Callithrix jacchus: one gene and its partners. The protein of the gene in region 5 purifies or fractionates together with the protein of the main gene of each other region. This does not show direct contact. Links are inferred from orthologs where the notes say so. Each region holds a gene or a part of one and is shown on either strand. Other genes may lie near its edges.

Evidence for each region.
Region 1: the proteins of MPHOSPH6 (region 5) and DIS3L purify together in Homo sapiens (affinity purification with mass spectrometry; 3 studies listed by BioGRID and IntAct, with this or other methods). This does not show direct contact. The link is inferred for Callithrix jacchus from reciprocal best matches to the Homo sapiens genes MPHOSPH6 and DIS3L.
Region 2: the proteins of MPHOSPH6 (region 5) and C1D purify together in Homo sapiens (co-immunoprecipitation; 3 studies listed by BioGRID and IntAct, counting the BioPlex papers as one, with this or other methods). This does not show direct contact. The link is inferred for Callithrix jacchus from reciprocal best matches to the Homo sapiens genes MPHOSPH6 and C1D.
Region 3: the proteins of MPHOSPH6 (region 5) and EXOSC1 purify together in Homo sapiens (affinity purification with mass spectrometry; 5 studies listed by BioGRID and IntAct, counting the BioPlex papers as one, with this or other methods). This does not show direct contact. The link is inferred for Callithrix jacchus from reciprocal best matches to the Homo sapiens genes MPHOSPH6 and EXOSC1.
Region 4: the proteins of MPHOSPH6 (region 5) and EXOSC7 purify together in Homo sapiens (affinity purification with mass spectrometry; 4 studies listed by BioGRID and IntAct, counting the BioPlex papers as one, with this or other methods). This does not show direct contact. The link is inferred for Callithrix jacchus from reciprocal best matches to the Homo sapiens genes MPHOSPH6 and EXOSC7.
Region 6: the proteins of MPHOSPH6 (region 5) and EXOSC2 purify together in Homo sapiens (affinity purification with mass spectrometry; 8 studies listed by BioGRID and IntAct, with this or other methods). This does not show direct contact. The link is inferred for Callithrix jacchus from reciprocal best matches to the Homo sapiens genes MPHOSPH6 and EXOSC2.
Region 7: the proteins of MPHOSPH6 (region 5) and EXOSC3 purify together in Homo sapiens (affinity purification with mass spectrometry; 6 studies listed by BioGRID and IntAct, counting the BioPlex papers as one, with this or other methods). This does not show direct contact. The link is inferred for Callithrix jacchus from reciprocal best matches to the Homo sapiens genes MPHOSPH6 and EXOSC3.

What each region holds. Positions count from the first base shown.
Region 1 is NC_133509.1:13,339,016-13,343,141, reverse strand, and holds the start of DIS3L (DIS3-like exonuclease 1), read right to left. Parts: upstream 2,861-4,126; 5' UTR 2,837-2,860; coding exon 2,698-2,836; intron 2,574-2,697; exon of another isoform or gene 2,365-2,573; coding exon of another isoform or gene 2,277-2,364; exon of another isoform or gene 2,028-2,276; intron 1,521-2,027; exon of another isoform or gene 1,520-1,520; coding exon 1,366-1,519; intron 1-1,365. UniProt on the Homo sapiens protein: Catalytic component of the RNA exosome complex which has 3'->5' exoribonuclease activity and participates in a multitude of cellular RNA processing and degradation events.
Region 2 is NC_133515.1:45,822,729-45,825,803, reverse strand, and holds the end of C1D (nuclear nucleic acid-binding protein C1D), read right to left. Parts: intron 1,364-3,075; coding exon 1,199-1,363; 3' UTR 513-1,198; downstream 1-512. UniProt on the Homo sapiens protein: Plays a role in the recruitment of the RNA exosome complex to pre-rRNA to mediate the 3'-5' end processing of the 5.8S rRNA; this function may include MPHOSPH6.
Region 3 is NC_133513.1:90,258,782-90,262,403, reverse strand, and holds part of EXOSC1 (exosome complex component CSL4), read left to right. Parts: intron 1-1,009; coding exon 1,010-1,043; coding exon of another isoform or gene 1,044-1,050; intron 1,051-1,998; coding exon 1,999-2,049; intron 2,050-2,812; coding exon 2,813-2,897; intron 2,898-3,622. UniProt on the Homo sapiens protein: Non-catalytic component of the RNA exosome complex which has 3'->5' exoribonuclease activity and participates in a multitude of cellular RNA processing and degradation events.
Region 4 is NC_133516.1:27,748,614-27,752,235, forward strand, and holds part of EXOSC7 (exosome complex component RRP42), read left to right. Parts: intron 1-1,212; coding exon 1,213-1,336; intron 1,337-2,702; coding exon 2,703-2,858; intron 2,859-3,447; coding exon of another isoform or gene 3,448-3,540; exon of another isoform or gene 3,541-3,559; intron 3,560-3,622. UniProt on the Homo sapiens protein: Non-catalytic component of the RNA exosome complex which has 3'->5' exoribonuclease activity and participates in a multitude of cellular RNA processing and degradation events.
Region 5 is NC_133521.1:39,719,538-39,723,931, forward strand, and holds the start of MPHOSPH6 (M-phase phosphoprotein 6), read right to left. Parts: upstream 2,904-4,394; 5' UTR 2,865-2,903; coding exon 2,814-2,864; exon of another isoform or gene 2,570-2,813; intron 1,461-2,569; exon of another isoform or gene 701-1,460; coding exon of another isoform or gene 698-700; intron 1-697. UniProt on the Homo sapiens protein: RNA-binding protein that associates with the RNA exosome complex. Involved in the 3'-processing of the 7S pre-RNA to the mature 5.8S rRNA and play a role in recruiting the RNA exosome complex to pre-rRNA; this function may include C1D.
Region 6 is NC_133502.1:179,354,164-179,358,455, reverse strand, and holds the start of EXOSC2 (exosome complex component RRP4), read right to left. Parts: upstream 2,848-4,292; 5' UTR 2,839-2,847; coding exon 2,717-2,838; exon of another isoform or gene 2,377-2,716; intron 1,116-2,376; coding exon 1,014-1,115; intron 1-1,013. UniProt on the Homo sapiens protein: Non-catalytic component of the RNA exosome complex which has 3'->5' exoribonuclease activity and participates in a multitude of cellular RNA processing and degradation events.
Region 7 is NC_133502.1:144,772,737-144,776,818, forward strand, and holds the start of EXOSC3 (exosome complex component RRP40), read right to left. Parts: upstream 2,810-4,082; 5' UTR 2,790-2,809; coding exon 2,460-2,789; intron 1,795-2,459; coding exon 1,645-1,794; intron 1-1,644. UniProt on the Homo sapiens protein: Non-catalytic component of the RNA exosome complex which has 3'->5' exoribonuclease activity and participates in a multitude of cellular RNA processing and degradation events.

The DNA of each region.
Region 1 (4,126 bases), on a different chromosome or scaffold from region 5:
TAAGACTTCTTTTTTATTCTCCAAGGCCTAGAACTAAGAGCTCAAAAAGTGCTTACCAAACCAACGAAATCAGGGTATTATCATATGGCCCTATTTCATAACCCCTCATCTTTTGTTTTCACATTTAGTATATTCAAAGACATGACAAAGCAGTGGAAAACCAATAGTTTTTCATCAAGTTAACTACTCTTGAAATGTTCAGGAGAAAAGACGTTTAAATTCCAACTCTCTCTCTTTAAATGTCCCAGGAATTAGTTTCTAAAACAATCCTTAACATTAAAAATATTTTAGAAAACAGAAGTTGAAAAGGCTGGCAGTGTGTTAGCAATCCAAATGATAACAACGAATTGATTTTAGTAGCAGAAATTGAAATACGACACCTGGAGCAGCATTTAAATTTGGATGTGTATAAACATCTATATCTTGGTGTCTGAACAAAATAAACTCGATGCTCATTTAAAAATATTCTATCTGAAAAACGCTGCACACAATCTGGTTAATGTACGTTTTTTGAACTGAGCATGTAATAAGAGGACAATTTGTCATTTTCATATACAAATAAAAACACTTCATCTTTTATTACCAAGACCTGAAGAAACCACATTTTTAAAAAGAATAAATGTGTAGTTTGTGCTTATTAAATAACTTACAGTGTTAAGAGGTTGGACATATAATTCTAATATGCCATTTCCATACAGTCTTAAGTTCAAGTCATAAACCTTTCCCAATGTTAAAGGAAGCGAAATTATTTTTCAAAGTATTTGTTTAAAAGATAGACAACTATTCTTCATTTAAGTACAAGGCGAGAATTTTAGACTGGTTCAATGAGAAATCCTTTGTTCAGCAAATACAGTGACTAGGGCTGGTAGTTACACTAGTAATCTGAAAATAAAACATGCTATTTCTGGTTTCATTGAATAAATCATTACAAGTACAATTTGCATCCACAACAAGAGTTTAAAATTTAAAAATAAAGTACTCTTTTCCCCAAGAAAAGAATGTATGCTTCTGAAACAATGTATCTATAAATAAGATTAAACAATACACATTATCAACAAGAAATAAGCAATAACCCTGCCACTATAAAAATGCAAGCCAAAAGCCAATTCACACTAGAATCTTAAATACCCACAGACTGGGGACACTGCAGGTTATTGATCTACAGTCAGCTCTCTTGGCCAGGTGTTGAAGCAGAAATATAAAATAATGTTACCGCATTCCTCACTATCAAAGAGAATACGAAATCAGTCTGAAAAGTCCTTTCTGACAAAATAATGAATTCCTCCCGTCCCCCTCCAACAAGAGACCTTCTCTAAGGTGGGGAGAACCTATGGCATATAGAAATAAAGAAGGCAAAACATATACCTCCGGCCTCTTTGGTGCTGTACAGCTTGACAAGCTGTTTGCATAAAAATAATTCCCTTCAACTCAGGAAACTCAAGGATCTCAAGATAATCTTGAACAACTTTCCAGTCTGGGATCACGTAATGAGTCACATCACTAGACAAGAGCTTCCCATCTGAAACATAATTCAAAATGTAAGAGATCAGACCATGTTTCCAAACCTGGTTTATGACTAAATGTCATCGTGCCCTAGCACGCAAAATAACTTCCAGTCTTAACTCCAAAGTGGGAGTTTTTAAAAGACAAATCTACTTTGGTGGAGGCCCAAAGTTCAGGTATATTGAGCACCCTTATTTTTTTTTTTGAAGCTGTGATAAATACAAGCTCAACGCGGTTTATGGTGTTGCCAGAGGTACAGGAGAGGATGACACATTTTCAGCATAACCTGAATATTTCAGTGTTAACTCATCATTGACAAATACGTTCAAATGAAGCATCCCCAAATTTATACCACTTGTGTATGATGCCCAGCAATTTCAAGTAGGCTCTGTGTCAAGCTTCTCCAAGTGCGCAGCAGCCGAGGGCCACAAGGGTTGAATTGAGAAAATGCTCAGTGCGAGCAAGAGGGCAGAGATGGGGTTTCCACCAGGCCCGCATCTGATAACTGGTTAACCAAGCTCTACCTGAAATGTTCACCTTAACCACCAAGTTTGGAGGATTCCAAACCCCCAATGCTCATCCTCCCATGGGGGAAAGAGAACCAATAACGTGCATCGTTCTATCCGCCACTCTTGCAGCCTAGAAACCAAGGACGGGTGCTCAGGAGTCCCCAGTCCAACTTCCCTTTGACCTTCTTCCCCAGTGCCTGCCCTGATAGTTCACAAATCTGCGGGGGAAAAGTCTGGGGCACCAGTGCCCGCAGGTCAGGAAACCTGAGGCTGCAAAGCAGGCGATGTCAGCTCCGCCGCGGCAGCAGCTGGCCAGAAGCTCCCGGGGGCTCCCAGCTCGGGACCTCCCCATTTCACCGCCACGGCTGGAGGAGGCCTCGGCTTCCGCGCCCTCCGGCCCCTCTGAGGAGCCGAACCACGCGGCCTCCGGGCTGGGGCGCGGGTCTCTCCGGCCTTTCCATTGGACAGGGCGGAGCAGTCGGGGAGTCCTGCGCGGGGCTCCCCAGAAGTCGCGGACCCGGGCCGCTGGGTCCCAACCCGCAGAGAGACGGGGGTGACGCCGGGGGGCGGGCGCGGGCCGCAGGGCCTAGGCCCCAGTGCCCCTGCAGCTGGCGCTCCGCCTCCGGGCCGCGCTCACCCCCTCACCGCGGCCGCCCGCCCCCGCCCGCCCCCGCCCAGGCCTGACCGTGGCTGCAGGCGGCGGGCTGCGGGCAGAGCGGGCTGTGGCAGGGCACGCAGGGCCGCAGGTAGTGCTCGCGCACGATCCGCAGCGTGCGGCCCTGGAAAGTCCTCAGCAGCAGCACCTTCTCCCGCTTCTGCAGCATGGCGGCGTGGCGCCGGGAGGCCGCGGAGCGGCGGGCGCGGCGGTGGCGAGGCCGTGACTTCGGGCCCGCCCCTCGGCCCTGGGCGCCGCGGCTCCGGAACCGCCCTAACGGCCGCGCCCCGGGGAGGCCCGGAGCCACACGCTCCCGGCTGGGCCCGGCCCTCCCGGTTCTCCCGGTCCTTCCGGCCTCAGTTTCTTCCCTTCCCGTAGTAGCCTGGACCAGGGAGGAGGGGTGGAAACGACTCACCCCAGAGACGGAGGGAAGACTAGAGAGATACCCGGACGGCCGGTGAGGAAGGGCGGGGAGCAGCTGTCCAAGATTAGGGGACTGTCCCCCCAGGTCCATGTGCGAGTGAAGCCGCCGTATTAATATTAATACCGGGTAATGAATGTTTTCTCTTCATTGCTCTCGCTAGCTCTAAACGAGGTAAAAGACTCAGCAAATAAGCTGGCAATCCTGCCAGCCTAACATTCTAAAAAGTTGTATTCATTTTTTTAAAAAGTCATTTTTTGTTGTTGCTATGGGGGGCTGGTCTTGCTCTGTTGGCCAGGCTGGTCCGAAGCGATCCACCCGCCTCGTCCTCACCAATTGTTGGGATTACAGGTGTGAACCGCTGCGGCCGGCCTTTCATGTAGTTTTAAAATTTATTTATTTTAGGCCGGGCGCGGTGGCTCACGCCTGTAATCCCAGCACTTTGGGAGGCCGAGGCGGGTGGATCACAAGGTCAAGGATCGAGACCATCCTGGTCAACATGGTGAAACCCTGTCTCTACTAAAAATACAAAAAAATTAGCTGGGTATGGTGGCGCGTGCCTGTAATCCCAGCTACTCAGGAGGCTGAGGCAGGAGAATTGCCTGAACCCAGGAGGCGGAGGTTGCGGTGAGCCGAGATCGCGCCATTGCACTCCAGCCTGGGTAACAAGAGCGAAACTCCGGCTCAAAAAAAAAAAAAATATTTATTTTGGTATCCCTATTGATTTTATGGTGTACCTATATATTCAAACAATGGAGATAAAATGAAAACCAATTTCTTCCCTTGAAGCAAGCACTGTTCCACTCCAACTTTTATAGCATTTGCAGCCTCTGGCAAAAGATTTCTCCTTTAAACTACCACTGGGGGCTGGGCGCGGTGGGTCAAGCCTGTAATCCCAGCACTTTGGGAGGCCGAGGCGGGTGGATCAGGAGGTCAAGAGATCGAGACCATCCTGGTCAACATGGTGAAACCCCGTCTCTACTAAAAATACAAGAAATTAGCTGGGCATGGTGGTGCGTGCCTGTAATCCCAGCTCCT
Region 2 (3,075 bases), on a different chromosome or scaffold from region 5:
TCTGCTATCATAAATCAAGAAATCCATTTATTCAAGGTTACTTATGAAGAATTAATCACACAGAAAATTTTAACAACTGCTTTTTCAAAAATTAAAGTACTTTACTATACTTGGCATTCCTACACATAATGATACAGATTCAAACACTGAAAGCATTAAGGGCATGTAATTAAAATTCATGGGCTTAGACATTTTTAAAAAGGTTTACTATGTAGTATTCTCTGTAACTAATTTCCAGAAAAATAAATCACAATATAAACACAATGTAATCTTCTTTGGACATCTCCTCTGCTTAAGTGGCATTATGTAACATAAGACATTGTTCCAAAACACTTGTATGTACTTGATACAGCCTCAAAAACATGAAATGAAAAAAAATGAGATGAAAAGAACTATGGACACCATGCAACAGGAACAATAACCCATAAATTTCTCTATTTGTGATGCTTCTAAAACCTAGCTTCCTAATTTGAAAGGCAAATTTACTCAAAAGATAAAAATACACAGGTCAGTTATACAACATTTTCAGCCTTTATTGAGAGAGTATAGTCATCATGCCAAAATTTATCCATCAACATACAACTTTATTTCCCATCTAAAGTTAATGAGAATGTATTTTATTTTAAATGGGACACAGAGGCAACATGCCAAGAATTAAAGTACAACTATAAAGTTTTAGTTTCACACTCTGAATATCAACAAAGCAGTAATTCCTAAAATCATGAAAACATGATCAAGTAACTAAACAGAAAAAAAATGAACATTTAGTTCATTTCATGCTTTCTTAATGTCATATAGTGAAAACAGATATACCTATAATTTCAGTCTATAGAAAGCATACTTCATAAGGTCATTATTCATTTAAAATAGTACAAATGTTTACAAAGAACATTTTACTTAAATTTCACAGTTGCTTATAAAATGATTCTTGCAAGATTGACCTATAGAAAGAAATAAGAGTTTCATCAAAAGAGATGGTAAATTATAAATATAAAATATATCACAATGTTTAAATCCTCATAATGCAAATCAAGAAAAATAACAATCTTTGGAAAGGAAAGTATTCAGCTTTACAAACTTACTGTAAATATATATATTAATTCAATAAGAAACACATTTAAACTTTGCACTGCCACAGAATTATTTTGTGGAAAAAAATGATGTACTTTTTGAATATATATACATCAAAATCAAAAAGTTAACTTTTACTTTTTCCTTTATTGGCAACTTTTGATGCATTTTTCGGTTTTGGTTCCCAGAGAGCATTTTTTACAAATCTTGAAGCTGCACCTCTATCCAGCTTGCCAGCCTTTTTCTTGTCTGTTATTTCCTTGACTCTGTTCATATATACTCTGATTCTTTCCTTAAAGATAAAAAAGAAAGGCAGGCAATAGATTTACTAAGCTGTTCACCATGACTAAGTTGTATTATACTGTATCTCAGTTAAATTCAACATATTGCCTATTGAGTGCATGGTGCTAGGAAGTGCAAATGAATAGGAAAAACATGCTCCCTGCTTGCCTGAAGTCCATAGTCAGAGGGTGGGGAGAGACAGATGTTAAAAAGTCATTTCAGAATTCTGTTTCCAAAGAGGAAGAATCATACTGACATCACTCCAGAAACAAACATTGAATTGAAACTTTCTAGGTGGTTATACATTTTGTAATCACCATTAACATAAATCTACATATTAACTGTTTTGTATCTAAAGTAAAAAACCTGAGCTCTCATAAACTTGCAAAATACAAACTAAATTAACCTGAATTTTTTCTAAACAGGAAATACATGGTTTTTCACATTACCATCTAGTGTAACAATTAAAATAGGAAGAATGAAAATACAAATTATTCGGTTTTATAGTTTGATTGGTAAGTACGTGAAATTTTCTTTAAAAATACAGTTCTAATCAGACTTTACCAGGTGAGAAACATAGTATGTTGCCATACCACCTTGAATCTTCTGAGACCATGAATCAGCATAAATGGCTATCTTATACTTCAAATGGAGAAGGTAAAGTTGTTAAGAGCCATAAAACAGCAGAGTAAAAGACTGATCACTGTTTAAAAATAAGCTTTACACAGAAAACGCATACACAGAAAAATGTACATTCTTATAATGTTTTCATTGTGAAAAACTGGCAACTCTGCTCCACAGTCTCTAGTGGCGCCCCATTTCTGTCTGAGTAAAAAGCACAGTGCTTACAATGGTGGATACCAGCTGCAGCACACACACACCAACCCTGCCTTGGGGTCTTTGGCCTCCTTATTCCTCAAAGAGTATTTCCTCAGTTACCCATACAGCCACTCCCTCTCTTCCTTCTAGTCTACTCAAATGTTAACCTTGTCAATGAATCTCTGACTTCAGCATTTAAAACTGCAGTCCTTCCCATCTCTCCTCTCTCCTCTCTCAAAAAAAAAAACAAACACTGCCGTCCTACCCAAGCACTCCAATCCCCCTTACCCTACTCTTTTTCTTTGTTCCCATAACTTTCCAACATACTACATATTCATACATATCTCTTCTTTGTTCACTTTATTATGTTTATTGTTTGTCTCCCTCCATTAGATACAGTCTGGTGTCTGCCACAAGGGCAGGGATCAGCTTTATTCACAGAGGAATCATCTCACTTGGAAATAATGCCTAGTTCCCAGTAAGCACTCAAATATTTGTTGAATAAGTAAACTGACTTTTCCCATTTGTGATATATAGGGCAAACAGGTTTCCTATCACACACTAACCCTGTGATCAATCAGTAACATCTACACAAGGTCAGAAAAGGGGAACAGGTTTATGCATGCTTTTTATTTACCAACTCTTATCTAGAATATTAACGTACTACTTCAGAAGGTAGAAAGAAAACAAATGATCTTATCCTTTCACTAAAACAGTATCAAGTACTCCAAATAATGTTAATGGAAAAAAGACAAACTGTATCTGAAGTCCATATTTGGAAGCTGAAAACAGACGATACAACTCATCATTTTTAAGGTTTAAAGCCATATCATTGGTCAAACCAAGATCTGCATATCATATTGCTTTACACTTTTGCTTTAAATATCTTTCACAATTGTTTTA
Region 3 (3,622 bases), on a different chromosome or scaffold from region 5:
GGAAGACAGTTTTTCCACAGACCATGGTGGGGGTGGTTGCAGGATGATTTGAGTGCATTATGTTTATTGTGCATGTTATTTCTATTATTGCACTGTAATATATAATGAAATCATTATACAACTCACCATAATATAGAATCAGTGGGAGCCCTAAGTTTGTTTCCCTGCAACTACAGTCTCATCTGGGGGTGACGGGAGACAGTGACAGATTATCAGGCATTAGATTCTCATAAGGAGTGGGAAACCTAGCTCCCTCATACGTACAGTTCACAATAGGGTTCACACTTCCATAAGAATCTAATGCCTGCCCTTATCTGACAGGAGGCGGAGCTCAGGCAGTAATGTAAGCGATTGGGTAGCAGCTATAAATACAGATAAAGCTTCTGTCACTTGCCTGCCACTCACCTCCTTCTGTGCAGCCTGGTTCCTAACAGGCCACAGACCCACCACCAGTTGGAGACCCTTGCTTTAGTGCTTCTGTTTATGCCCTGAGGCACCGAAACTCCTTATCCTGTCTTGCCAAATCTGAGGTATTGATACTGCTGCTCCACCCTGCTCCTCTGGGTAGCAGCTGGGTCCCAAGTAGACTTGTTGTCTGTTCTTGTAGCTCTTTATTTACTAGGAATCTACAGGATAATTCTTTCTCACAGGCTGGGCAAGGTGACTCATGCCTGTAATCCCTGCACTTTGGGAAGCTGAGGCAGGTGGATCTCCTGAGGTCAGAAGTTCAAGACCAGGCTGGCCAACATGGAGAAACCCTGTCTCTACTGAAAATACAAAAATTAGCCGGGTGTGGTGGTGCACACCTGTAATATCAGCTACTCGGGAGGCTAAGGCAGAAAAATCTCTTGAACCTGGGAGGCGGAGGTTGCAGTGAACTGAGATCACACCACTGCACTCCAGCCTGGGTGACAGAGGGAGACTCTGTCTCAAAAACAAACAAATGAACAACAAAAAACAAATTCTTTCTCACAGATAATTAATCTTTATGTTAATTCTTTTTTTATAGCAAGGAAGATATCCGAGCAACTGAAAAAGACAAGGTTGTTGGTTGGTTCTTTTTTTTTTTTTTTTTTTTTTTTTAAATGGCTTTATGACTCTTAATCCTTTAAAAGTATTACCTCAGGCCAGGCATGGTGGCACACACCTGTAATCCCAGTACTTTGGGAGGCTGAGGGGGGAGGATCACTTGAGTCCAGGACTTCAAGACCAGCCCTGGCAGCATAACAAGACCCCATCTCTGCAAAAAGATCAGCATCCGAGTATAAAAAATTAAAAACTAGCTGGGCATGGTGGCTCATGCCTGTAGTCCTAGCTGGTTGAGAAGATGAGGCTGGAGGATTGCTTGAGCTGAGGTGTTTGAGGTTATGTGGTGGCATGCACCTGTAGTCCTAGCTACTTGGGAGGCTGAGGCAGGAGGATCCCTTGGTCCAGGAGTCCTAGGCTGCAATGAGCTACCATTGCGCCACTGCACTCCAGCCTGGGTGAAACAGCAAGATCCCACCTCTTAAAAAAAAAAAAAAGTGAGGATTGGGGGCAGGCACGGTGGCTCATACCTGTAATCTCTGCACTTTGGGAGGCCGAGGTGGGCGGATCATGAGGTCAGGAGTTCAAGACCAGCCTGACCAACATAGTCAAACCCTGTCTCTACTAAAATTATAAAATTTAGCAGGGCATGTTGGCACACGCCTGTAATCCCAGCTACTCAGGATGCTGAGGCATGAGAATTGCTTGAACCTGGGAGGCAGAAGTTGCAGTGAGCTGAGATCGCACTACTGCACTCCAGCCTGGGCAAGAGAGAAAAACTCTGTCTCAAAAAAAAAAGACTTTCATTTGTATGATAATACTATAGAAGCAATTAAAAGTTGTTAACTACATAAGTAATGATGCTTTTACCCTCTAGGGTTAGAAAGTAGACTGGCTTTACCAGAGAGGTTCACAGTTTCATGTAGACCCAGTCTAGAGCTTTCACTTACCATTCCTGTTCTTTCTTTACAGGTTGAAATTTATAAGAGTTTCCGCCCAGGTGACATTGTCTTGGCCAAAGTGGTATCCTTTATTCCCAGCAGAATTCTGGTCCTTTGTCAAAAGAACAGATGGGGGCTGGGTGCAGTGGCTCACGCCTATAATCCCAGCACTTTGGGAGGCCGAGTTGGGTGAATCACCTGAGGTCAGGAGTTCGGAGTTGGAGACCAGCCTGGCCAACATAGTGAAACCGTGTCTTTTTTTTTTTTTTTTTTTTGAGACGGAGTTCCGCTCTTGTTACCCAGGCTGGAGTACAGTGGCGCGATCTCGGCTCACCGCAACCTCCGCCTCCTGGGTTCAGGCAATTCTCCTGCCTCAGCCTCCTGAGTAGCTGGGATTACAGGCACGCGCCACCATGCCCAGCTAATTTTTTGTATTTTTAGTAGAGACAGGGTTTCACCATGTTGACCAGGGTGGTCTTGATCTCTTGACCTCATGATCCACCCGCCTCAGCCTCCCAAAGTGCTGGGATTACAGGCTTGAGCCACCGCGCCTGGCCTGAAACCCTTTCTTTATTAAAAACAGAAAAATTAGCTGGGCATGGTGGTGCACACCTATAATCCCAGCTACTCAGGAAGCTGAGGCAGGAGAATCGTTTGAACCCAGGAGGCAGAGGTTGCAGTGAGCTAAGATCGCACCACTGCACTCCAGCTTGGATAACAGAGCGAGACTCCATCTGAAAACAAACAAAAAAAACGAGACAGAAGTAGAAAAACAATTCAGGTGGCTATGGTGGGAGGGAAGACTTTTAACTCCTCATTTTCCTTTACCAGTGTTATGTGACTAGATCTCCCTAGGTGACGCACAGTCCAACTACCTGCTAACCACTGCCGAAAACGAGCTGGGAGTGGTGGTAGCCCACAGTGAGTCAGGTGAGGTGGCCTTGCTTCAACATCCTTACTTTCCCTGGAGTTGTGGTTTGGGATTAATCCATTGTTTTTCTTGATTTCATTATCTGGGAAGCAGTATGGCCATAGATATTTCGTTCTGAGATGAGAATGGTTTTTTTTTTTTCTTTTTTGTGTGGTGATGGTGGTGGTGCTGGTTGTTTGAGACAGGGTCTCTCTCTGTCATGGAGGCTGGAGTGCAGTGGTGCAATCTCCACTCATCGCAGCCTCGACCTCCTGGGTTCAGGTAATTCTCATCACCCAAGTAGCTGAAGTACAATGGCGCATTCTCAGCTTACTGCAACCTCCGACTCCCAGGTTTAAGCAATTCTTTTGCTTCAGCCTCCTGAGTAGCTGGGATTATAGGCAACTGCCACAGCGCCCAGCTAATTTTTTTGTTTATTTAGTAGAGACAGGGTTTCTCCATGTTGGCCAGGCTGATCTCGAACTCCTAACCTCAGGTGATCCACCCACCTCAGCCTCCCAAAGCGCTGGAATTACAGGCGTGAGCCCTGGCCTGAGTTTTGTTTTTTCAGTAGGGACGGAGTTTCACCATGTTGGCCAGGCTGATCTCAAACTCCCGGCCTCAAATGATCCGCCTGCCTTGGCCTCCCAAAGTACTGGGATTATAGTCGTGAGCCACTGCGCCCAGCCTGATTCTCCTCATATAAATCCAAGGAAATGGGACTCGCTTCTTAAGTCAGTAGAAT
Region 4 (3,622 bases), on a different chromosome or scaffold from region 5:
ATAAAATGAGATAAATAGGAACATTCTAGGAGGTCATGTTTAGATTTTAGAAAGGATGGCGTCCACATATATATGGATGAGAAATCTTGGAGTGTATGATCTGGGACTGAAACTGTGGAATATATATCTAGTGTCAAGATCTGAGAGCAGAGGGAGTTTGCTCTGGGATCTGGAATAAGTGATGGGGAAATGTTTTTAAAAAATAAACAAATAGGCTAGGTGCAGTGGCTCACATCTGTAATCCTAGCACTTTGCAGTGCCAAGGTGGGCAGATCGCTTGAGATCAGGAGTTTGAGACTAGCCTGGGCAACATGGTGAAACCCCATTTCTCTGTAAAAACAAAACAGGCCAGGCACGCTGGCTCACACCTGTAATCCCAGCACTTTGGGAGGTCAGGGCGGGTGGATCACTTGGAGGTTAGGAGTTCAAGACCAGCCCGGGCAACATGGTGAAACCCTGTCTCTACTAAAAATGTAAAACTTAGCTGGGCATAGGGGCACATGCTTGTAATCCTAGCTACTCGAGAGGCTGAGGCACAAGAATTACTTAAACCCAGGAGGCAGAGGTTGCAGTGAACTGGGATTGTGCCACTGCACTCTAGCCTGGGCAACGAAGCAAGACTGTGTCTCAAATAAACAATTGTGGGAGGATTCCTAGGTTTACTGCACTCCAGTTTATGCTTATATAGTACTCACACTCAGATCTTAGGACCTTTCAAGGGCTGACCCACCCATTTTCTGTGTTGTTAGTTTTTAAATGATATACAGAAGTTCATAATGTTAATATAATTGGATCTATAACTTTTTTCCCTTTTATGATAACACTTTCTGTATCCTGTTTAAGAAATAGTTGTCTACTCCAAGGTCATGCAGATGTTTTTTTCTAAAAGCTTTATTGTCTTATCTTTCACTTTTATATCTGTGGTGTATTTGGTACCGCTTCACGTGTGTGTGGTGTGAGGTAGGGATTGAGGTTCATTTTTCTTCATTTGGATATCTGATTGACCCAGCATTATTTTCTAAAAGATGCCTCTCCTCATTGGACTGTGGTGCCTCCCGTATGCTTTTGACAGGGACGAAGATAATAAAGGATAGGCATAGCGTACCTTTCTCTTTGAGACACAGGGATTCTAACTCCTATTCTCAATCTTAAAAAGAAGTGTTTTTTCCTCCTCACAGTAAATGGAAATTTTAATTGTGCTTCTGTTTCCAGGATACCAAGGGTTCGAGTTCTGGAGGACGAAGAGGGGTCAAAGGACATTGAATTGTCTGATGACCCTTATGACTGCATACGACTAAGTGTCGAGAATGTTCCCTGCATTGTCACTCTGTGCAAGGTATAAGCTTGTATTTTATGGTTTTTGTCTTCCCTGTGGATGTGGGTCTCCTCTAATCGCAATCTGCTGAGATTACTTAATAGGTTGATAAATTATAATATCACACACCATATAGAAATAGCTTTAACCCAGATCCAATAATTTGCTTATATTAGAAAAACACTACCATGAGTAGCTTTTTCTTTTCTTTTTAGTTGGAAGATATGATGTGGCCTGGGAGCCAGGAGTGTGTTTGTAGTAATAGTAGCCAGAGTTTGTTAAGCTCCTTCCACATACCATGTACTTCAGTAAAGCACTGTGTCCTTTAATTGCCTCAACTCTATTGGGCTTAGGGTGGCTGAGTAGTGGCAGGGTGGCAAACAATGCCCCCTCTATGAAATGGGAGATTAGAGCAGGTCTTCGGTGTCAGGAGTGGTTTTCCTATAGAGCAGAGGGCTGTGGAGCTCAACATCTGGCTGATGTGACGTATAACTAATGCTGCCCCAGGCTGTGCAAAGAGACCTGTATTGGCTATTAACTGGGATTGTAGCTAATTCCACTCAGGATTCATTATCTTAAAATAAAGCTAAACTGGTCAGATTTAATTCCACTGAAATAACTTCATGAACAGGATGTGGTGAAGTGTTCAGACAGCAGGGTATTGGGTCTTGCCTTTTTTTTTTTTTGAGAAATAGTCTCCCTGTGACACCCAGGCTGGAGTGCAGTGGCAGAATCTAGGCTCACTGAAACCTCTGCTGCAACCCACCCCCGCCACCTGCCCAGGCCCAAGCTCAAGCAGCCCTCACACCTCAGCCTCCTGAGTAGCTTGTACCACAGGCTAACACCACCACACCTGGCTATTTTTTTTGTATTTTTGGTTGATACGGGGTCTTGCCATGTTGCCCAGGCTGGTCTCAAACTCCTGAGCTCAAGTAATCCATCTTCCTCAGCCTCCCAAAGTGCTGGGAGGCATGAACCACTGCAACCAGCCTTTGGCTTGTTCTTGAGTGTGCCCCTTAGCATGGGCCTCTTGATTCCTCCTTGCCATCAGTGAAACATCGATGTGGCATTGTGTGGAATTTGTCCCTTGTGCCCCTCTGTTGGAAAGCCTCTGTGGCCTCTGTCTTGGATGGTCTCTGAATTCTAGTTTTAAACCCCCTTGCCCTATTTTTCCGTGTCATGTTTTTATTGTATCACCCACACAGTGGCCTATGAGAATTGTTGAACATTCCTTCAACTGTTTTCCTCATGAGCAGAATCTAAAATAAGACCTGGAATGACCTATGTGAATCCTTTGCCTGGTGTAGAGATTCCCACCACGAGGCCATCAAGAGTGGGGCTCTGGAGCCTGTGTGACCCCTGTGTGCTGTGTACCCTGCCTTTGCAGATTGGCTATCGGCATGTGGTGGATGCTACCCTTCAGGAGGAGGCCTGCTCCTTGGCCAGCTTGCTGGTGTCGGTGACCAGCAAGGGAGTTGTGACGTGCTTGAGGAAAGTGGGGAAGGGCAGCCTGGACCCAGAGAGCATCTTCGAGATGATGGAGGTGAGGCCCTGGTTTTGTGGATGGTGTGGGGACCTGGCCGGGACACCTGCTGCTTCCTGCCCACTTGGTTACACCGTGGGGATTCTTCCCATTCACATCCTTGACTTCAAACCTGGAGCTTGGAGAACAGTTGGTTTGAGCCAGGGGTCTGCTGACCTAACCAGGAGGGTTGGAGGGTGGAGACTCTGGACTGGGAGGTAAGGAGCCTACTGGCAACCATTGCTTATCCTCAGTAAGTCCCCCTGCAACTCATTTCTGTGTGTCTAAATAAGACTGCTGGACTTCCATAATGGAAAGAGCCACTCGTAACTCCAAAATCACAGGCCTTAGTGACTTGTTGAAGGAATTGAATTCTTGGCTCACTGCTTCCTGTCCCTTGAAGTTGGTGAGTAAAGGTGGAAGCAGGGGTTGAAGTGTGGCTGTCTCCCAAATTCATTACAACTCTAGAAGTGTTTAAATGGAGACAAGCAGGGATGGTGAGAAATCCGACCCCCTGGAGTTGGGAGTGGGTTGTCCCCATTCCTGTCAGAGCCATGAGGGCACTTCTAAGTTCTCTGTACTGTTTTCCCCACGTCTGTCACTTCACTAGCCTGGAAGTCCTTCAGGGCAGGGACAGGGTTCTGCTCACCTGTTTTCCAGACCTTCCTTCCCCTCCATCCACCTCACCTTTCTGACTGACTGACGGAACTTCCAGGAACAGAGTGAGCTGGATTTGATTATTCATACTTTCTTGTAACCTCTATATCACCATGCATGCCCAGAGA
Region 5 (4,394 bases):
AAAGAGCCATAAACTTATGTTCTGTACATAGGGAAAGGATAGAACTCACTGTGAATATAAATCAAGCACCTCCAGACTTACGTAGAAGTTCAATTCTCTTACTCTAGAGCATTTCAGAACACATTCTAAAACTAGTGAGGACTCAGAGCAGACATCAGCACAATACAGTCCTCAGGCTGGATGTCTGTCGTTGTCGATAAAGTTTTACTGGTACACAGCCATGGTCATTTGGTCTGAACAACAATGGCAGAGCTGAGTAGTTGTAACAGAGATTGCCTGGCTCATAAGCCCAAAATATTTATTATATGGTCCTTTGCAGAAAGTTTGCCAAGCCCTGTTCTAAGAGTCTAATAGTGCTAAAATCACAAATAAGCACCCTCTCTACAACCATTCCATACTGACAGACCTTCTATCCACATCCTCCTTTTTCTGCTTCCCATCAGGATCACCCCTCAATGGCTTACCAAGTCAGAAGCATTCAAGTGAGTCAGGATTAAATCCTCAACCCTCATACTTGCCATAAAAAGTGGTTCCCAACCTTTTTGGCACCAGGGATTGGTTTCCTGGAAGACAATTTTTCCATGGGTGGGGTGGGGAGGGGGGGACAAATGGTTTAGGGATGATTCAAGTGCATTACATTTATTGTGCACTTTGTTTCTAATATTGTAATATGTAACGAAATAATTATACAACTCACCATAATGTAGAATCAGTAGAAGCCCTGAGCTGGTTTTCCTGCAACTGGGACAGTCCCATCTGGGGGTGATGGGAGACAGTGATAGACCATCAGGCATTAGGTTCTCCTAAGTAGCGTGCAAGGTAGGTGGCTCGTATGTGCAGTTCACAGTAGGGTTTGTGTTCCTAGGAGAATCTAATGCTGCCACTGATCTGACAGGAGGCAGAGCTCAGGTGGTAATGCAAGCTGTGGAGAGCAACTGTAAATGCAGATGAAGCTTCCCTCACTTGCTTGGCTGCCTGCCACTCACCTCCTGCTGTGTGGCTCAGTCCTAACAGGCCTGGACTGGTACTGGTCCATGGCCCAGAGGTTGGAGACTCATGCTATATAGGACTTAGCTCTGGCTATGGCACTCAAGTGCAGCTGCTCCATGCCTTTTCACAGTATACTCTGTTCAGTTAGTACAGGTAGTGTCTCCTGCTATCTTGCCAGTAAGTTCTTTCTTATCGATGACCAAAAGCTTCTAAAACAAATAGAGAACTTGGGTGATCTTCTTCTCTCTCCTTTGCTTCCAATGTTCAGTTGGGTCTCCCCACTTGGTGGGGGTGGACACTTATTTTAAGTTAATGTCCTCCTTTTTAGTTGCAACTCAGATCTTTAGTTTGAGCCTGAGTCACGTAGTACATCATCTGGCTTATTCCAAGAGCTAAAACAATTGCTAATCTTTTCAGTATCTGCTTGGCCAATTCACTCCACTTCTCTGAAATTAATGTTATTACAAATCCTAAAATCAAAAGCAAACTCTGTTCAGTAAAGATTCAAATTTTGCTATTATCCATGAAAGTGCTTGACAAACTATAAGTTATGCTACAATTTATCCTCATTCACCCATTCATTGTTTACTCTCTAATCTTTCTCGTTTTGAGACAGGGTCTCCCTCTGTGACCCAGGCTGGAGTGCAGTGGCACCATCTCAGCTCACTGTAGCCTCGATCTCCCAGGCTCAAGCAATCCTCCTACCTCAGCCTCCCAAGTAGCTGGGACTACAGGTGCATGCCACCACGCCTGGTTAATATTTTGTATTTTTTGTAGAGATGGGGTTTCACCACGTTACCCAGGCTGGTATCAAACTCCTGGGCTTAAGCGATTTGCCTACCTCAGCCTCCCAAAGTGCTGGTATTACAGACATGAGTCACTGCGAATGGGCTCTCTCTCCAATCTTTCAAAACACTATGAATAGCTTCCTTCCCTTTTTTTTGGAAATTCCACCTCTTTAAACATGACATGTAACAGTTTGCTACTCTCTATTAGTAGTGCTCAGTGAGAGGCATTAGAGTAGTAATAAAGAGCCAGGGTTCTGGAGCTAGACTGAGTTCCATCCCGTCTGCACTACTTATTAGCTGTGTAACTTTGGGTAAGTTACTTACTTCCGTTTCGGTTGCCTTAGTTGCAAAAATAGAGTTACTGCCTGTAGTAACCTCAAAGTGTCATTTTGTGAACTGCATAGGTTAATATATGCAAAACACTTAAAACATTATAGAGTACCCCAAAAATGTAAATATTTGCTATTTTTGAGCTTTCCATTGCTCACAAAATAAAGGAAAATATCCTTAATCAGGCCTAAAATTCCCTGCACGTTGTGACCATGGCCTACTCTGCAACCTCATTTCTTAGTATTTGCCTTCCAAACATACGGAATTATCTCTAGTTCCTGGAAATCTCCATGCTTTTCTTTTTCCTTCTTGCCTCTGGGACTTCTGAACTCAGTTTCTCGTACTTTAAGACGCTGTGCCTCCCACCCTCCCAGTAACCTAAAGGGACCACGACTCCGCGAGTTCAGTGAGTTCCCAGGGTCCCCGGCGCTTCTACCCTCACTGAACTTGGTGAACTGTACCTTGACTGCTGCTTATGTGTATATAAGCTCCGATCCGCCCGCGGGCCTCCCAAGAGAGTCAGCCTAATTCACAACCTGGTTCCCAGTAAACAGTGCAGAGCAGGCGCTAAGTGAATGAATGAGCACAAGAGCTGGAAGCCTTTGGGGCCTCTCTGGTGTCCCCCGTCCGCCCGCCGCCTCGGCCCAGGTCAAGTCGGAAGGACCGGGTGCCCCTACCGCCCGGCGTGGCTCAGCGTCCCCGCACCTTCATGCGTAGCAGATTCTTGGACAACTTTGACTTGCGCTCGGCCGCCATGGTGGCTCCCGCCCAGCGCCGCACTCGGCCGCGATCCTCACCGCACATGCGCGGAGCCGCGTGCGTAGCTGCGTCGCGTGTGTAACGTGCGACGCTCCTCCCCACCCCGCCCTGCCTCCCCGCCCGGTGTCTCGCGCGCGGGTGCGGCCCCTCTGTGGGCGTTCTGCCGACTGAAAGGCTCGGGTAAGCGCGTGGGGCAGTCGCGCGGGGATGAGCGCGGCAGATACTAAACAGGCCCAAGTCAGAGGAGGCCCCCCAGAGCCTTGCTGCCCCGAGCTGTGGGCCGCCCTCCCGGGACGTGGGCCTGGCCACCTCGAAGGCCTATCCTCCCTCGGGGACCCCCTTCCTCAGGCACCCCCTCCAGACTCAGTAGTCCTCGCCGGCACCATAGGTTCCCGCGATGCCTGCCACCCGCCCGGGCAGGGTTAACTACGTGTTTGTCTTCATAACGTGAGTGGCGGGAGGGGCCACGTCGTTTTCAGTAGGACCCCACGAGTTGCTCCCGTCCTCACAGCCGCCCGGAGTCCCGGGGGAACGCGGCCGGGGCCGCCCCAGGCAGTCTGGCTTCCGGTCCCCGCGCAGAGCCACCTTCCACCCGCCGGCCCCTGCGGGTGCGACTCTGGCTGAGGGATCTCCGCTAAACAGAAGAATTGCAAGAAGCAGCAAGAGATGGAGGCAGGGATGGGTGCCAAACACACGCGCATGAGAGGAAGGCCTGGTTTTGATGTAAAGAATTGAAAAGACCAGCCTGGGCAACACAGGGAGACCCCATCCCACCCAACCATAAATAAACAAATAACTGGGTGTGGTGTCTTGGACCTGTGGTCCCCGCTACTTGGGAGGCTGAGGCTGGAGAATTGCCGGAACTCGGGAGGTCGAGGCTGCAGTGAGCTGAAATCCCGCCACTGGACTCCAGTGTGGGCTACAGAGCGACATCCTGTCTCAAAAACAAAACAACAGAGCAAAAAAGAATTAAACACTGAAAATAGGGTAGCGTTCATACCCCGTTGTTTAATGCTCTGGGTACCACCTAAAGACATTTTCGAAAGCCATTCCCAGGTCGATGCTGTGGAACATCCGAAAGCTAGTAGCATCTCAGCTGACAAGCATGGGCTCTATGTCAGATTCTTGAGCTGGGCACTTAAGAGTAATTAGTTCACTTAATCTTCATAAGAGCGGGAAGAAGGTATCGTCATCGTGTTGTTAGGGATTCGAGACCGCGGGTGAGGGACTTGCTGGAATTCACACAGTTACTCCATATCAGAGATGAAATTCAGAAACCGATTGGGATGTTAAAAGCCCTTCAGGTTTTCCCAGGAATAAATAAAATGTTAATGTGCTAAGTAGCTATAGAATCTCATTCACTTGTGACTGTGTGTGAGATACTGGGACATAATACCGTGTAAAAGCGTATCCCCACTTTTCCGGAAGCTGGCATTCTGGACATAAATAAGTGATGAATGCTGTGAAAAAGAACAGTGACATGATAGAGTAAAGTTTAGGGCTACTCTAGACAAGGTGGCCCGGAAC
Region 6 (4,292 bases), on a different chromosome or scaffold from region 5:
GAATACAAAAACCCAACACCTTTTCATGATTTAAAAAAACACTCAGAAAATAAAATCGCTCCTCCACCTTCCACTGCTACCAATTTAGTCCAAGCCACCACCGCTTCAGATCACGAGTATGGTCCCCAATCCATCTCCCTAAGCTTGCCCTATCCCCCTTCAATCTCCCATCAGTAGCCAGAGTGAGCTGAAGTCCAGATCAAGTCTCTCCTCTGCTCCACCCCTACGAGTGGCTTCCCAGATCATGCAAAATAAAAGCCAAAATGCTTACAGTGGCAAAGAAGGCAGGCGCATGTCCACCCACCTCAGCTCTCAGCCTGCATCTGCCCCTACTTTCCGCTTCACTCACTCTGTTCCAACCCTACTGTCTTGCTTTCTGGGGCTAACCTTTATTAAATGCTTCTAAGTATCAGGCCCTGTGCTAAATACATGCACCATCTCACTGAATTCTAAAAAATCCTAAGCCAGGAGCAGTGGCTCATGCCTGTAATCCCAGCACTTTGGGAGGCCAAGGTGGGGTGAATCACCTGAGGTCAGCAGTTTGAGACCAGCCTGGCTAAGATAGTGAAACCCTGTCTCTACTAAAAACATAAAAAAATTAGCCAGGCGTGGTGGCGAGCACCTGTAATCTCAGCTACTTGGGAGGCTGAGGCAGCAGAATTGCTTAAACTTGGGAAGTGGAGGTTGCGGTGAGCAGATGGTGCCACTGAGCTCCAGCCTAGATGACACAGCGAGATTCCCTCTCAAAAAAAAAGAAAAAATCCTATGAAGTAGGCCATACTATATAGTCACTTTCAGAGGACGTAACCAAGGCTTGGAGAGATGACATAACATGGGGATACCTCTGAAGCCTGCGCTGCTCTGCACCACCCACCTATAGTCATGGTCAAAACCGAAGACTTACAGCAGGATGCGGCAGGCAGAGGTAGGGTGGGGGATAAGGGGAGGCAGAAAGAGCCTGGTCATACAACCTGGATGCCACAAGAAAGGGAATACACACCTTTTGTTCTCACCTGGTTTTCAAAGCTTTCACACAGATCAACTTGTTTACTCTCTCCACAGAGCCGGCAACAGACGCAATGAGTTTCTCCTCTCCCATGTACGTTCCATGGCCCCTGACGCAAGGCAAAGACACAAAGAAAGGATCCCAGGGTAACTTGCGGTGCTCTCTCTTCAAGAACAAGGTGTTCCTCAAAGCTAACAGGCTGCCCCTGTGAAGGCTGGCTTTTGGGCTGGCTGCTCCCTCTGCCTTCGTGCTCCTTGTTCAGACATCTACTTGGAGGTCACTCCTCTCACTCAGGTCTGCTCAGATGGCACTCTCTCCAGCAGGCCCACTTGGACTAGGCCACTGAAAACAGCCCCCCCCCCAACCAGGTTGCCACCCTCCCACCATCTTCCCACCACATTCCATTTACCCTGCTCCACTTTTCCCCCATTGCATTGACTGCCTAATGTTCTGAATAACTTATTCGTTGCACTTATTGTCTATCTCTGCCTGTTAGCACTCCACCAGGACAGAGATTTTTCACTCTGCTGTTATATCCCAACTGCACAAAATGTAAACATATGTTGAAAGCATTAATCAAAGAATGAATCCAAAGATTTCCTAGGGGCTGGGCATGATGGCCCACACCTGTAATCCCAGCACTTTGGGAGGCCAAGGCGGGTGGATCACTTGCAGTCAGGAGTTCGAGACCAGCCTGGCTAACACGGTGAAACCCCATCACTACTAAAAATACAAAAATCAGTCGGGCGTGGTGGCAGGTACCTGTAATCCCAGCTACTTAGGAGGCTCAGGCAGGAGAACCGCTTCAACCCGGGAGGCAGAGGTTGCAGTGAGCCCAGACAGCACCACTACATTCCAGCTTGGGAGACAAGGCCAGACTTCCTCTCAAAAAGCGGGGGTGGGGGGGAGATCTTCTAGGATCCACTAACCTTAAACTAACAGGTTAAAGGGCAATGCTATGAATGTTGTGCCCCTTGTATATATACAGGTACAAAAAAATAAAAGTTTGAAATACCACTAGTGTTAACTATGATGATGATGTAATGGCTGGTTATACTTCTTTTCTTACGTAATGATCTCATTTACTCCTCATTACCGTATCATACTGTTGTTATTATTATCTTACAGAAGAGGAAACTGGCCAGGGCAGAGGCAATGCCGCTAATAAATGCGATGGTAGCAGGACTGGAAGTAACCCCAATTATCTGACTCAAGAGCCTGCCCTCTTAACTACAACGCACTGTACTGCACCCCTTAGCTTCAAACTGTGTGTAAATGGGTGCAGGCAGCGCAATGTAACGGTTTGCCCTAAGCTCGAACAATTAAGGATTCTAAACTGAAGAGAAGGAGACCAAGTCAAGAACGCTCACCGTCCCCTCAGACAGCTGAAAACTGGAAAGACAGCCTGCTCCTAACCCTCTCCAGTTTTCCAGGTCTCCTACAAGGAAGCCTCAAAGATTTGGACTTCGGGCAGAAAACCCAAAAGTCACAGCCACCGGAGGTCAGGAGCTGAAACGAATGCAGACGGGGACACACAAGATGCCGGGGGTAAGAAGCACGAGGCTCGGAAGCGAGGCGAGTAGGATGCTCAGGCGATGTCCCGTGGGTCCTGCGGTGAGTTATGGACACTCAGGGATACGAGGCGTGGGCCACGTGCAGAGAGCCCTGAAGCGCTCTCTGAAGCCTAGACTCCCCCAAGTCTCCACGTACCGCATGAATCCCGTGTCCGTAGTGATTGTGTCCCCCGGAACCACTAGATGTTTCTTAGTGTCGCGGCCCAGTCTCTCGCTAAGAGGCTTGCGAGCCACTGGAAGCCTCATCTCCATCGCCATCTTGGCGCCAAAGAGTTGCGCAGACGCAGCTCAGCCAGGAGCCGCAATATCCGGCTCCGCAACTCCCGGCCGCGTCCTGAGGGGCGGGGAAGGGCGGGGACTCGGTGCAGCGACCAATGAGAACTCACGACCTGGAGGCCATGTTTACAATTGGCAACCATAAGGCGAACACGAAGGGAAGGGAACCGAGCTGCCATGTTTACTATTGGTAAGGGAGCACCCTTGGAATAATAAAATCTCACGTCGTTTGACTTTTTACCAAAACTCTTGTTTTTTTTAAAGATAGGCTTTCACCATGTTGGTCAGGCTGGTCTTGAATTCCCGACCTCAGGTGATCCGCCCACCTTGGCCTCCAAAGTGCTTGGATTACAGGAGTGAGCCACCGCGCCCGGCCACCAAAACTCTCTTGTACTTATCATCCCATTTATTGTTTACCAGGGTTAGAAATAATTGAAAAACGGAATTCTGAGTTTCTGTCCAATTCTAAGCTGCTGAAATCCGATATTTTGTAAGAGAGAGCTCAGGAAGATGAAGAGATGGGATCTACAGAAACACTATTTGAACAGAAAGAAGAGCCCCTTTCCACACCATTCCTAGTAGTCCCAGTATTCTACGTCCCTGCCGCCCCGTGGATGCTGGCTCAGCAGCATCATCTATAGCCCCCAAACCGGGCTCCAGATGCTTCTCACTTGGTTCTGTCTTTTCATAAAGACTCCTTTGAGCGAGCTAATTTATGCCAATATTTCTTCTGGAAAAAAAGTAAAAAATCGTCTAAGAAAACAGTATACTTGCAAGCCAGTATATCTGGTAGGGAAGGCAAGTGCGCACATAATACAAAGATCTTGGCTTGCATTTAGTCATACAGCAAATTGAGCGCTCTCTGTGTGCCAGGCGCTGTTCTAAGGATTCAGCGGGGAATAGACGGATGTCTCTGTGGATTTTTCTGCTGCTCCGTTTTATTTATTTTATTTTGAGACGGAATCTTGCTCTGTCACCCATGCTGGAGTGTAGAGGCGCGCTCTTGGCTCACCGCAACCTCTGCCTCCCAGGTTCAAGCAATTCTCCTTCCTCAGCCTCCCAAGCAGCTGGGATTACAGGTGCATGCCACACCGCTGGGCTAATTTTTGTATTTTTTAAGTAGAGACTGGGTTTCACGATGTGTGTCAGGCTGGTCTCAAACCCCTGACCTCGTGATCCTTCCGCATCAGCCTCCCAAAGTGCTGGGATTACAGGTGTGAGCCACCGCGCCCAGCTGCGGCTCCGTTTTGATAGGAACGTACCCCTCGCCCCTTCTCCCCCTCCCCCACTATCCTCTCGCTCTTCTTGCCCTGCATGGTTTGCAGCATTCACAAGAAACTAATTGGGGAAGATAATTCCCCATGCACGGGGACTCTAAAGAGGGTTAAATGAAATAATTTGCATCAGCTGTGGTCAGTAAAGCAGGTAAACCAAGT
Region 7 (4,082 bases), on a different chromosome or scaffold from region 5:
ACAGCCATCAATGCCAGCCACCTACAGTTCTGTGGCTAAGGGACTGACTACACTACAGGATTTCTACAGTCACTTTGGAGTTGAGTCTTGTGAAAAAAAGGAACGCATGTATCATTCCCTTTCACCAACCAGGAAATCACAGAGGAAGAGCCATCTGAAGGCCAGAGAACACCTCTAGGGTTGCACTGTCCAATATGGTAGGTAGCTAATTATCTGAACTCACATTTAATTAAAATTAGATACTTAAAATTAATTTCCTGAGTTGCATTAGCCACATTTCAGGTGCTCAACAGCTAGTGGCTATCATACTAATCAGTAGAGACATAAAACAGCATCACTATGGAAAGATGTATTAGGTGACACCACCCTAGAGAATTACAGATTTACAGAGAGAGGAAGGAACTCACAGCATGCGAATTATTCAAAGCAAAACAAAATAATTCACTGACACTTCTCCCTGCAAGATTACTTAAAAACCTCATAGAGCTAAACTTTAAAGTGATGAAACTGAGGAAATGGAGAGTGAACTCGGTTTACTCAACAAAATGTGTTAAGTACCTACTGTTTGTTGGTGACTATGTAAACTATAGAGGAAGAAAACATTCTCCGATTTTCAGAAGCATTTGGTCTTGGAGGGCAGTTGGGAGGTACATATACTAAATCCAGTAAGTGCTAGAGAAAAGATAGGAGAAAAGTGACAACTGGGGATGGCTTTAGAGAGGTGGTTGTGTTTAGCCTAGGTCTAAAAGATGAGAATGTGTTCCACAGGCTGAGAAGGAATAGTGCAATCCAGAGGGAACAGCATGTGCAAAGAAATAAGGGCAGGAAATTGAGTTTAGTGGTTTTTGGTGTGATTCAAGTAGGGCTGCATGAAGGATATAATTAGGGATAAGGAAAAGACACCTGAAGTGTAATGCCAAGGAATTCTGTAGATTTTGGATAATCTTGTTTTTTCTTTTCCAGAAAGTGACTGTGAGGATGTCTGCTCTCAAAACCCTGGATGGTAAGGTAAAAATGTGGAGGCAAGGATTAATGTGACTGAGTCCAGTCAAGACGGAGCTAAAGCCTGAACTTGCAAAGTGGAGATAAAGGGATGGACATACCAAAGATCAGAGATGGAATCAAATAGGATCAAAATAGGGTTAGGCAACTAAATATGCATGAGAAGTGAATGAGAAGCAGCAAAGAAATCACTAAATGTCGGGCTGGGGTAGACAAGAGTGTGGCTATGCTACCTGAAAAGCCCAATCTGAAAACCCAAGGCAATAATATCACTCCTCTCTCAGCTCCTAGGATCTACAGCCAGGATGGATGGATAGCTGATAATGCCAAAATGCGCACTACTTTTCCCTCCTCTAAGCCTACAGAAGACTTCCTTGTCCAGAGGATGTGGACATAACACATAACAGAGATGACAGATAACTCAGTAGAAATGAAACATGCTAAGAACAATGTAGTCAATGTAAAGTAAGTATGTGGCTCTGGTCCTGGAGCATCTGAAGAAACTCTTGGAGCCTGGGGCAATTGCATGCACAGAAATCTAGGTCATGCTTTGGAGACAATTCAGGTAGCCTTCTGGAGATATGAGTCCTTCAAGGGAATGGATGTTTTTCTTGCTTTGAAACCAAAGGCTCCCATCATTACCTGCACATTTGGTCTGTTTCTTTTAGTTGCACCTTCAAATGACAAGTAAGACAAAGAAGCCGGCTCACTCCCTCCAACATCAACTTTGAATATATCTCCAGATTTAGCTGTCACTATGCCAATCACATGGTCTCCTTTCACTGGAACATACTACAAAAGGAAACAGAATGAGAAAACAGTCATAAATAACAACATACCATTGGAAGATACCTTCAGCAAGTCTTTTGTGGTTACCTTATTGTCATTAAAGAGAAAGAAATTTGATCGTATGCCGCTTTTGGTAAAAGAAAATCACATAAAGTGTCGGGTTTGCAGCTTCTGGTAGTCTGTTAATTGAGCCCAAACCCCGTATTTCTTCAGCACCCCAAAGAGTAAGTCCCTAGCTTTGTAGCATAAATCCAGTGGCAAAGGAATCCTTACAACCAAGGAAGCCCATTCCATAGTTAGACATTTTTTTTTCTGTATGAAAGTTCTTATCTGTCCTAGGAGAAATTAACTCCCCTTGACATCCACTCATTCAGCCTGGTCCTGCCCTCTGAGACTCCAAAGGGAAAGTCTGCTGCTCCCTGACCTTTGGGGTTTTGAAGACTATAATCATGACTAACGGTCTCCAAACGTTTTTCTCTCCTGGTCGCCCTTCTCAGGGTATGTTCCTATTGTTCACGGACCCTCTAAAGGACATGAAAAGTGGGCACAAGACTACGGTGGTACTAGGGGCTCTAGGTGCCTGAACAAGGAGGGCTTCAGTGTCCCATCCTTTCTTCTTTTGGGAGGTCTTCTTAAAGCAGGGCTACCACTCCGGAGTCCCAGCTTACCCGCTTCTGCTGAGAGTCCACCCAGTAAACGCCGCCGCCGCCGCCGCCGCCACCGCCGGGCTCTTTGTGACGGAGGCGGCCGCACTTGGTGACCAGCAGGCGGTCCCCACAGCGCCGCAAGCCCGGGCCGCAAATAACGCGCACCCGCGAGCAAGCTCCAGCATTCAGGCTCAACGGTCGCTCCCCTGCACCGCCAGGGCCTTCCGCGTCCTCCTGTTCCGGCAGGAGCAGCTCCTCACCCGGGAGCACCACCTGACCTAGTACTGAGCGCGCAACGCGCGCCCCGCCGCCCGCGAGAGATTCAGCAACTACTGATACACCTTCAGCCATTGCGGACGCCCGCAAACACCGTTTCCGGTATTCGCCTTCCGCTTCCGCACCCGCCCTTGATGACTTTCCGGTTCCGGCAGTAGTGGTCGGTTGAGTTGACCAGTTTATGAAGCTTCGTTGCCGTCAGCTCACAGGTGCCCGTCCGAGGTGGCTGTAGCCAGCCATCTATCTTACAGGCGTGAGCCACCGCGCCCGGCCGAACTTTTATGTTTTTTAGGATTGAGACAGATCATCTTCAACACACCCTCCAAATTTGGCAAGCCATTTTCCCCGCTAGGTGTAATAGAAGGCCAACAAATAAAAGGGGCTCCCACTTCCAGGTTAGTTTCCCTGGCAAAAATGGGAGCTCCTGTGGCAGAGACAGTATTAATTGTGCTTTTCTCTTCCCCACTCCAGAAGTATTGGGTGACCCTGCCTGCCTCAGTGTTGGCAGGATCAACAGCACGGCTGAAGGGCGCTCAAGGACCTCACATTCGGGCCAGGCAAAGAGGCAGGTGGGGAAATGTTCTCTGAACTGTCCTTCATTCACCCCACGTCGGTAGTGAAGTCTTTGGAAGAAACTCGGATCAGAGCTAGCAGAGGCCGCACATGACGCGCGGCGTAGCGCTCTAGCAGGTCAGCAGATGAAACAGCTGAGGCCGGGATGGAAAGTTTTCTCGCGACCCGAGGGCCGGGGCTGGGCCACTCCTGAGCACCACCCACCCTGACACGCCCACAGCGGGCGGGGCGCGAGGAACCGCAGCCAGCTTACCTGGCCGTGCGCAGCTGCGTCGGTGCTTCGCCGCCTCGGGGTCTTGCGCCCTGCCGAGAGCTAGCAGCCGGTGCTGGGCGGCGGGAATTCGTCCGCTGTTAGGTGGGAGCCCGAAGCCGCGAACGAGTGTTTGAAACCCGGCTTCAAGCCCTCGAGGGCGCGCGGGTTGGTCCTAGGGTCCCATGGGTCACGGTTCACATTTTCGAGCAACTCGTGCTTCCTCTCTGGTTATAAAAGTGGGAAAAGTGCAACGATTGGGGAATAAGGAGGAGGCTTTGCCCTCCGCCGGCGCTTGTGTTTCCCTGCTGATCGCGAGGTGGATTACGCCCGGTTCTCTGTCAGGCTTGCGGGTTTGGAGCCAAAGCAGTCGAGGCTGCTCCCCTTTCCAGTGCCTCTGGCCTATGCCTCCCCATTCGGAGTGTAACCAGGTCCCTTGATATTTAAGTACTCTGTTTTTTTTTTTTTTTTCTGTTTTGTTTTGGGTTTTTTTGAGACAAAGTCTCGCTCTGCCACCCAGACTGAAGTGTAGTGGCGCGATCTTG